Linked DNA regions of Arabidopsis thaliana. The protein of the gene in region 2 purifies or fractionates together with the protein of the main gene of each other region. This does not show direct contact. Each region holds a gene or a part of one and is shown on either strand. Other genes may lie near its edges.

Region 1 (5,712 bases), on a different chromosome or scaffold from region 2:
AACTTTCATAGCTTTTCATAATGTGAAGTTTTGTTATACCAGTTTTCGTGCAATTGATGTGGCTACTGATTAGCTCTAATGATGTTATTGGTTTTTTTTGTGTGTGTGTGTGTGTGTATAGTTGATCTTATGAAGCCGGGTGCTACGGTGATACTGCGCAATTCAAGGATAGACATGTTCAAGGGTACAATGAGGCTAGGAGTTGATAAATGGGGACGCATCGAAGCCACTGGAGCCGCGTCTTTCACTGTCAAGGAGGATAACAATCTGTCTCTCGTTGAGTATGAACTGATCAATGTTGGTGGTGATCAGTGATCTTTTAGTATGTTTATGGAGGTTAACCCCTGAGAGTGTTGGGTTCTGATTTTTCTACCGTGAAGGTCTTTGATTTAGATGATGAAGATTGTATGACTGGTCCAGAGTTGCTTGTAGGAATATGCTTCTTCTTTTTTACCCTAAAATATGCGGTCATGATCTTGCTCTGGAGAACTATTGAGCCTGCGGTAATGGCGTAATGCAATTGTTCCTTTTAATTTGTGTTGATGTAAGTTAAAGACCATTGAGAGCTTGCTTGTGCACTATCTAATACAGTAAAAATAAGTTTTTCTTTCTTAAACTTTACTAATGTCTTTGTTTTTTCATTAATTACTATTTGATGTACACTATTGTACCCTCTCGGTTACAGAGAGTTTTGCCCAACTTTTTACATCGAAAGCATCTCATCCTTGATTAATGTCATTGTTAAGACAAATTGTAAGTGCATAAAATTCATCGACGGATCATAGAACCATTGTCTAGTTAAGTCGGTCTAATTCCAAACTTTATAAATCTTTGAAATCAGAATGTTACTTTGAAGATCAGCTTTGTAACACCAAAAACGAATAGTTAATGAACACAATACGTAGTGAAGAGAAAAAAGAAAACGAAATGGGTAATAACTTAATGGCATAAAGAAAGGCTTACAACACAGCAAAAATGTTCATGTTCCTAATCTTACCCTCACTATACCAATACAATCCTCTCCACGTATCATCATCCTTGAAAGGAACAAACGGAGAAAGAGTAGAGTCACTCCACTTCTTTGATGATCTTTCTTTTGCGCAGAGGTGCTGTGACCACTGTTCCTGGAGCACTGTGAGCTTTCCTTCGTGCTTCTTTTCTTCTCTTCGAATCGTTCACAGTTCGAATGATACCCATCGCTTTGTATATTGGTTTTGGCAAGTGCCTGTGTCTGTAATTCACAATAACCAAAACGTTACCATGTTACTATAGTTATCTTTTGACAATCTCCAGAGTTAAAGCATGGGATAAAACCACAGTTTTCATTGGTCATTTACCTCACAATGCGCTTAACCTCAGAAAGATGCTTGTACCGGTTCTTCACAGCCTCGTTGTACTCATGCTTCTTTTGTTCCCTTGGAAGAATCTGCAGCACAACACACCAATTAACATTGACAATTCACCGTTCCAAGTTAAAACTTCTTAAGAAAGCATGTACGAGTAATATCTCATAATCATATGCACTATTGGATCAACTGCTAAGCCTGTGGTAACTCTTTTTTGGTCTTTATTTTGTATAAATTCACAGAATCTTACAACTCCCAATTGCTCTGATGCCTTTGCCTTCCATAGCCTGAGATTGGTGTCATCACTGCCCGATATTACATATGTAGCATCACAGCTATATTTGACACAGAATACTCTACAAGAAAAAAGAAATGAAATTTAGAAATTGCTTAGACTAAATCAAATTACCAAGGTGGTACACTAGAACATCTGAACTTGAAGTATATATAGACTGTTCAGTAGATTGTACCTCTGCATCCTCTTTGTATGGTAGATTTCCCTGCTGTGTCCTCCATTGTATGGGAAGATTCTCACAGATCGATCATAAGAACCCGTAACAAACTCACGACCAGTCGGTGAAAAGTCAATATCCATCCTGAAAAATGATGAAATTAGATAATCATAATGCATTTGGATGATATCTTGTTAAATATTATAGCTGATACTTGAGATAAATCATTCTTCATTCTTACACTGCAGAAACATGATCTTTATGCACGCACTTGGCTTCGTCCAACTTTCTACCATCAAAGCTATAGCAACTTCCATCTTCATTAGCCTATTCAGTTTCCCCATGGGATAAAATTAGCACATAAGCAAAAGACAAACGCTGATTTAGCATAGCCCATCACAGAAAAATTCACTTTATGATTATCACTTACAGCTGTCAGGTTCATAGGCTCCATGGGGTTCCATGCAATTGAATTTGTTTTTGTCTGCCAAAAGAAAAGCAATTAGCAGACCACGGTTGCAATTGTTTAGTTTGAAGGGTATTAATGATTAAATATGACGAGAATATGTAAAAAAGTTTCAACTATACCATCATGATAATTTTCCTTGCCGCAGAAGACAAGCGGAGATCATATATGGTTATGCTCCGGTCACTGGAAGAAGAGATATCCCCTTACAGTGTTAGAGAAAGCTCTGGAAGGTGTAGCACAGACAATTACATGACATATACAAGTATAAAGTAGAAAGAATATACCTAGCTGATGTAGCCAATAAATTAGGCTCTCCAGGATTAAACCGAACAGATATTACAGAGTCAGTTCCCCACTGGAAACTCTGAACTGGCTGAGACCTAATTACAAAAAGTAAAACCATAAGCCCTGCTTACGTAAAATTAAAACAAACACCAAAGATTTCTTTTAGCAGGAGCCTGAGTACCTATTATGATTCCATATATCAAGTTGAGCTCCGGCCGTAGCAAAAAGGTCACCTTCAAACTGATGATCAACAGCCCTAGAAATGACAAAAAGCTTAGTAACTCAAGTTTTTTGTACCAACAGAATCATGAGAAATCGCATAAAGAGTGTGTACGAAGTCTACCAGAAAGCATTCTTCCAGACATAGGTTGCAGATGGCTGAAAAAATAGTTTGTTAAAAGCTTGTAGTTATATACCAGCAAGAGAAAGCTCCAGATAATACAATATTGAAAGAACTACCTCAATGAAATTCTCAGATGAAATGCTAGAATCTTCAAGTGAAGGACGAGGAACATTCCACAAACGAACACTGCACAAATCCATTAACCTTAGTTTAACAGCCAAAAATCTGATCACCGACTGGAACAATAAATTGTTATTATATCTTACGTGCAATCAGTTCCGCATGAAACCAATACATTTCCATCGGTTGATGCAGTAAGACCACGCACAGCACCTTGATGACCAGGGAATTGGCAAACTGTACGCCTGCATGTTTCAAGTTCCAGAATTCATTTACCAAAAGCACAGCACAAAGCAAAGCCTTTAATACTAAATGAAGTTCAAATTAATTCAGAGGGGATTTCGTTTTCAAGATTTTAACCTTGAAGAGATATCCCAAAGGCGAATATCTGCAGAGAAGAAAACGATACATAGTATCAGTAACATCAATGGATACAAACAACCAGCTTACATAAATATGCCATTAGATAATTACCTCCATCCATAGAAGCAGAGAAGATTCCTTTGAGGTAATTTGGGTTCTTCGCCATACATGAGACTCCATCACGATGACCATCCATTGCTCCAACAAACGGCCTTGCAAATATCTACAGAAAAACAAAAACAGAGCCAAATTTGGGGACTGCTCCATAACTAAACAACACAGACAATCAAAATTGAAACTCAAGAGCACACCTTTTCTAATTTGGCAGCTGTAAGAGCTCTCTGGTATTCCACGGCCTTCTCCATAGGTCGAAGACTTGGGTCGAAGTTGTGAAAGACCCTCTGGAAACGAATTGATAATGTTATTGATAGTCTAAAGCTAAATTTTGTGATATGGGAAACGAATTGGATATGCAAAAATTACCTGAAGATCCTGACTTCTTTCTCGAGTGTATTCATCAACCGATCTTGATAACGTCTTAATCTTCATTGCTTAATACTACAAAAAGGTCACGACGAAGACTAACGGGGAAGAGAGACACAGAGAGATACAGAGTCAAAAGTGAGCTAAGTTCTCCAGACAGAAAAACCCTAGATGAGAGGTTTTGGGAGAGGTGACGAATCTGAGATGGGCCTAACTTAAAAATATTTAGTCCTTAATGGGCTTTTTATAATTTATTATAATTGGCCCAAAAGTTACTATTGCAAAACTTGCTCGAGTTTAAGTTTTTCTGTTACAAAATGCGGGACATTTACAAGGTTAGTGTTTAATAATTTATCAAGGAGTTGAGTTCTTTAAAATCATGAATTCGAGTACGGCCGATAACAAATAATTGATTCAAACTATTTAAATCTGTTTTGATCCAATCCGAAGATGTTATTGTAAACAAAACTCTGAAGAATTCTCTGGTTACCTAAAATGCATGACTTTGAATACAATATCATTACCGTTGGACTTTTACTAGTAAAGTTGGTTAATACAAGACTATTCTTCAAATTTGGACAAGTCAAGATTCTCGTGTTTTGAATTTTAAGGTTTCTTATAATTAAACAGTCCTTTAAAATATAGTTGAATTCAAAGAACACTCATATGCTTGTATACATTTTATACTATTTAGCAACAAACTCACACAAGCTTTTCAAGTATTCAAATAGGAAAAAACCACCTACCAAACACTTTACTTTGTTCTCTAACTACTTATATACCTACTAACGCAGTTGATACGTAATTTTATCTTACATTTCAACCTTTTTCATTAACTCATAATGGATTATTGTCCACTCAAACTACACTGACAAGAGAATTATTTAAGTGAAACTGTGAATTGGTCCTCCTACGGTACTTTTATTTAGTCAATGGTAACTTACGCGTTAAGTTTCAAATTTCATATAAGACTTTTCAGAACGAAATTATGCCTATGATATATTGCGAAATTTCTTGAAATATTTTATTGATATGTGATTCTATTAAAATAAATAGCTTAAATAAGAATTGTATCTTTGAAAGATACAATTGCTATCAAATGATCTAGTATAAATTAATCATTGGTACCGCGTAAACATCTTGATAAAATTGCATCAATTAGTTTTTCGAATAAAACACTTGTTTTTAAAAAATTTATGTGTAAATATAATTTCGTTAACAAAATTCTCATTGATTATTTTTTACCTCTAAAAAACTAAAAACCACCAAAATGGGTATAAATGTAATTTGGCACATCGTAAAGTGTCATAAGAGCGACCCGTTCAAGTCATAATACTTGGTCAACACGCAAAATCGTGAGCTAGCGCCGGGAAAACCCGACCTAAGTGATGAACTCTCTCAAGTCATGACCGCTTCCTCGTCAAATAACTATAAATATTCCCTCTCATTTATTTGATTTCCCACATAACCATATCTCTTAATTTTCTTTGATATCAAACAAAAAAAAGGCTTCTGTTTTATTTTATTACTTGTCGGTACAACATAAAGAAGAGAAAGTAAAATACGATGAGAAGAGTTAGTTGGTCTACTGTTTTGATTGTGGTTGTGATGGTGTCGTTGTTTTTCGTAGAACACGTGGTGGTTCCGGCTGCGGCGGGGAGGGTTCTTACTGAAAAATCGGGAGATGGAAGTGCGACTATGACGGTGGAGAAGATGAAATCGACGGTGGATTCTTGGTTTCAGCGTTTGGCGTCGGGTCCAAGTCCAAGAGGTCGCGGCCATTAAATTTTCCTTTTTTACTTTTTTTTTCCTGGCCGGAGGAGATTAATTAATCTCGATATACCCCATATG
Region 2 (4,466 bases):
TGTCCTTTTGCATCCATACAAACTTCAGTACCACCTTTGGTTTCTCTAGCGGCTTCACTAACACACGCATCTTCTTCTGCAATATAAGATGACGATAACAAGGGAAGAATCATACATCTCTACTTCCTTTCACAAAAGTTTTCACAATGAAGCAACATAAGGGAGGTTTAACACTAGCACACACTGCCTCTTCTACCACAATTAAATAGATGGAGACAATACATTTGGTTTACCACATTTTCGTTCAAATGACAAAAAAAGGCTGCAACTTTGTCTAACAAGCTTATAACCCCAATTTGTTCCAAGAGAAGTTTTTTGACGATGACTGACCTTTCCAAGTGGCGGAGATTCAGATTCTGGTAGTTCATGAGAGAAGGTAAGATTGGAGGGGGGATATGCGAATATTCCGGGATTGATACAGGAGTGTCTCGCCGGAATTTGACCCTGATTCCAAGTAGAGCACGAAAGCGATGGTCGAGAAGAGGGTTTGAGCTTCGTCGATAGAGAGATATGAGCTATGGGTTTCGAAGAGAGCTTCTGAGAAGGTGAAGCTGTTCTGAACCCAAAAGAAGCACTCTGATTTGCTTGAACCGCCATTTCAGCTGCGTTTGAAGCTTCTAAGCGAGCAATTTTATTTTGAGAGACCGGGGAAAGCAAAAACACAGGTTTTGCGATTTTCTGGTCGGGTCGGGTCGGATCGAATCAAACGGGTTTTGTAATTTGAAGTGTCAAATAATAATTAGATTTAATATTTTATGTTCATCCATTTCTGTGGCTCCAACTTATACAATTTGACGATAATATGAGTTAGATTCAATATTTTCATGACATTTGTTTTCAAGTTTCTTCTTGCAAATAGATCGAAAGTAAGATTAAAGACAAGGGAATAGTAGCACATTTGCATATTCAAAAATCCAAACAAACCCTGCAATAGTAGTAGCAGTGAACCTTTTTTGGCTTTTACAAAACATCAGTCTTTTTTAACTTCCTCAAAGCTAAGCAAGCATGTCATAATCATCCAATGTGTCATTGTACTCAAGAACCTTTCGTTTAATCTTGGATGAATCAACCCAAGTGATGAAATCTTCCATGTTCCGAGTTACTAAGAAAGCTGGATCAGTAATTGTTTCTGGTCCTACACGAACGTGTCCTTGCTCTATGTATGTCACAGCTTCTTTGTGGTGCTCTGCAAACTTCAGGTGAACCAGCACAGTAGATAGCCTACGCCTGCAAATAAAAAAAAAGAACCGATATGAGGCAAACGAAATGAGAACATTTGGCTATCAAGGGTTTAAGTAACTGCCTATATAGGCTCTTGCATATACTCTTACCTACAGAAGGATGAAACTGATAACCGCTCAGTTAGAGTCAAGCTTTTCCTAGTCGGTATAACACCCATGTTATATCTGCCGTTTCAAGCGTACATGTAAGAAACACAAGTCAGTCAGCCATTAAGAGAACAAGTTTTCTCATTGCAGAGTGGAACTACGCAATCAACAAGTTTCAGTAGGATGGCTCTTTTTCCCTATACAATAAGCCTATATTATATAGTAACTTAGCTCTATGTAGAAGCTATTCAAGAAACAGATTCTGAAAGAAACCCATTAGATCACACATTTTACCAGGATGAATTCAACCTCTAATGGATTTCAAACCAACGGTCCTAAAATCTATATAGAAGCATAAGGACCCCCAATTTTAATTATCTCTAAAAGTGGTTAACAAGAAAAACAACAGGAGGTCTCTAAGATAAGATCGGTGTAAAAAACTGCAGAAAATGATCAAGTCTCATGTTCTACGACCTAAATCTAGAGAAAACAAAGAACCATTGCTTGTAATAAGCTCTATACTTGAACAAACTGGTATATATATTTAAAAAACTCACAGCTTCTCCAAAAGCATATCAGTCATCTGAATACGAAAAGGATCTGCTGGATCCATTTGTTTCATTATATTCGTCAGTTTCTGCACCATCCTACACAATCCTGAATACCTGCCCAAAAGAAAAAACATTCTCAAGAATCAGAAAAAGACCATTGTTCATCACAAAACACTCGAACCAGAAGAAGAAGAATAAGTAGAACAGAGCTTTAAGAGCAAATAAAGGTACCAACTTTTTGTAATCATCACGAGAGCCCATGTGGTATCGATACGTAATCTCGTTTTCCCGATGGTTACCTTCTCTTTTCCATTCTAAGAAATTTACTTTCTTTATAAGCTTCTTCTCGTGATACTTGAGCTTTCTCATCTCGGACGGTACTGATGATATGCAAATTATACGAAATTAGGGTTTATTTGTCCAATAATTCAGATTTGAAATCCTGAATAATCATAAACCCTTGAACATTCTAATGGGAACAACATAGGATTTATCAATCTCTGTACAATTAGTCTATGAGTAAAATTGAAGTAGTTTACCTGAGAGAGATTAATCGGCGCGGGATAGAGTAAGGATGAAGAAATAATCGGCGATGAGGTTCTTGGGTTTGAGCTGAAAGAAAATGCTGGAGAGGCTTAAACCCTAATTGGCAGAGGAGTAGTAATTCAGAAACCCTAATCGAAGGAGAGGAAGTCAGATAAATCCGACGGTCCCTATCCTCTGTTTGATTGTAACTTGTAAGGCCTTAGCATAACTAAATCTTGTTGAGTTGAGCCTTTTAAACTTCTCATTATGGGCCTGAGAAGCCCATGTAGATTTTACCTTAATTATGGGACTAGACTAGGAAACGGATTTACTAAGGGTGCTTTGAATGCAAAATCAATTCGCTACGTTAAAAAAGATTATTTGGAAGTTCTAAGCATAAACAAGCATCAAATCCATTGGAAGCAAAATATATAGTTTTACTACATACTATGCAATGGAAGTAATTGTATGTGAGGTCGCATGGAAGTGATTGTAAAGCATTGGATGATCTTCTCTATTATCGATCGGAAAATGCAGCTAATAAGGGACCCTTGATTGATATAATTGACAAACGGGTGATCTATAGGTTAAAAGAATTAAGTTTTATAGAAAGTAATAAAGGGTCCCAATTATATTACACTTGTTACACAAAATGCATAATCTACTAGAACTCTCGATAACGACCAAAATTTCAAATCCAATGCACACGTATATACATACACGCATGCGCACGAATGGGCTTAAAAGTTTAGAGTGTTAAGATGATTGAGCCACCGACACCGAGTTTCGTGGGGATATATAATAATTGTTGATTTCCCTTTTTTCACTATATATTTTGCGTTTAAGCTATCTTCAAAGTTATTGGTTTCTTTACCAATACGTGTTTGTTTGTTCTATTTCAAGCAAAAACATAATCGCAGAAACGTCTCCTTTATTTGTTTTGTTCTTTTCTTAATTCTGAATACTTGTGTGTAAGTTTTGAAATATAAATATATCGTTAATGCTTTGTTCTGTTACTTTACCTTTCTATTAATATCAAGTAACTTTTAGGACGAAGATGTTCATTTAATGTTACTTAAAATACGTAAGCATTAAAATTTGTGAATTGCAATTTTGATTAAATATATAGACTGAAATAGAAATGACCCATTTGATTAAAACTACAGATATTTACACGCTTTTCTCTCTGTTTTCTTCTTAAACTCTTCGTTGAAATGACAATTACAGTTATAGAAAAATCTTAAAACTCTTAGATTTTTTCCATTGGAGAAATGTATTCGTATTTAGAAAAATAAATCATTAAGTTCCGACAGCAGTGTAATGTCCGATGTCGGTGGAATGTATATGGTCATAGAAAATAACGTACATTAATTCGCTCAATAAGTAACTCATCTCTAATCAAATTCTTCTATCGTCAAGTGAAAAGAAATAAATACTGAATTACATTGGAGATGCTTTCAAGTCATTACGTGACAATTGGCCTTTACTTAAATTTCCAATATTTATCAATCGATGTTACACGCACGATTTGATATAAATAACAATCATTTTCGAATAGCAAACATGAAGGAGATTGATCTAGATTTTTGGACCGAACATCGTCTATATATTGATATATATTGGCTGATATAATGCTGTGTTTTAAAACAATAACCTGTTCATAACCTCACATCTACACGTGTATCTTTTTAAATTGTCTTCACGAATGACAAAAGAAAACAAATCATTCAATTTGATCTTTCATTGTTTCTAAACTTGGCCGGCGAGCGAGATCATTGCTTAAAGCTTTATTAAACTGCCGCTACAGCTAGACATCGTGGTTAGTCACTTTCACATGTTTAATGAATGAGTTTTTTTAAACTAAAAAAATAAAAATAAATTAAATCTGTTAAATCAGAAAATTTAGTTGATAGGTTTGAAATTTCAATTTTTTTTTTACTTCCTCAAATTTTATGATGTAATAGGCGACATATTTATATTTGTTTTATATATAATGGATAGGAAAAAAAAATTATCAGTTGATTTACCAACGATTTGAAAATAGTATAATGAATGTATATAT

The links.
Region 1: the proteins of AT5G15750 (region 2) and AT4G28450 fractionate together in Arabidopsis thaliana (co-fractionation; one large-scale study listed by BioGRID). This does not show direct contact.

The regions. Positions count from the first base shown.
Region 1 is NC_003075.7:14,060,656-14,066,367, forward strand, and holds AT4G28450 (WD repeat and SOF domain-containing protein 1), read right to left. Parts: upstream 4,054-5,712; 5' UTR 3,928-4,053; coding exon 3,862-3,927; intron 3,780-3,861; coding exon 3,690-3,779; intron 3,602-3,689; coding exon 3,490-3,601; intron 3,404-3,489; coding exon 3,376-3,403; intron 3,261-3,375; coding exon 3,162-3,260; intron 3,082-3,161; coding exon 3,012-3,081; intron 2,931-3,011; coding exon 2,896-2,930; intron 2,809-2,895; coding exon 2,734-2,808; intron 2,648-2,733; coding exon 2,552-2,647; intron 2,451-2,551; coding exon 2,387-2,450; intron 2,283-2,386; coding exon 2,229-2,282; intron 2,126-2,228; coding exon 2,040-2,125; intron 1,943-2,039; coding exon 1,817-1,942; intron 1,703-1,816; coding exon 1,597-1,702; intron 1,427-1,596; coding exon 1,338-1,426; intron 1,232-1,337; coding exon 1,069-1,231; 3' UTR 748-1,068; downstream 1-747. Other genes in the region: AT4G28440 (Nucleic acid-binding, OB-fold-like protein), read left to right, coding at 122-315; AT4G28460 (uncharacterized protein), read left to right, coding at 5,428-5,646.
Region 2 is NC_003076.8:5,139,231-5,143,696, reverse strand, and holds AT5G15750 (Alpha-L RNA-binding motif/Ribosomal protein S4 family protein), read right to left. Parts: upstream 2,663-4,466; 5' UTR 2,419-2,662; intron 2,260-2,418; 5' UTR 2,249-2,259; coding exon 2,115-2,248; intron 1,994-2,114; coding exon 1,886-1,993; intron 1,407-1,885; coding exon 1,332-1,406; intron 1,228-1,331; coding exon 996-1,227; 3' UTR 807-995; downstream 1-806. Other genes in the region: PSRP3/2 (Ribosomal protein PSRP-3/Ycf65), read right to left, coding at 1-76, 331-597.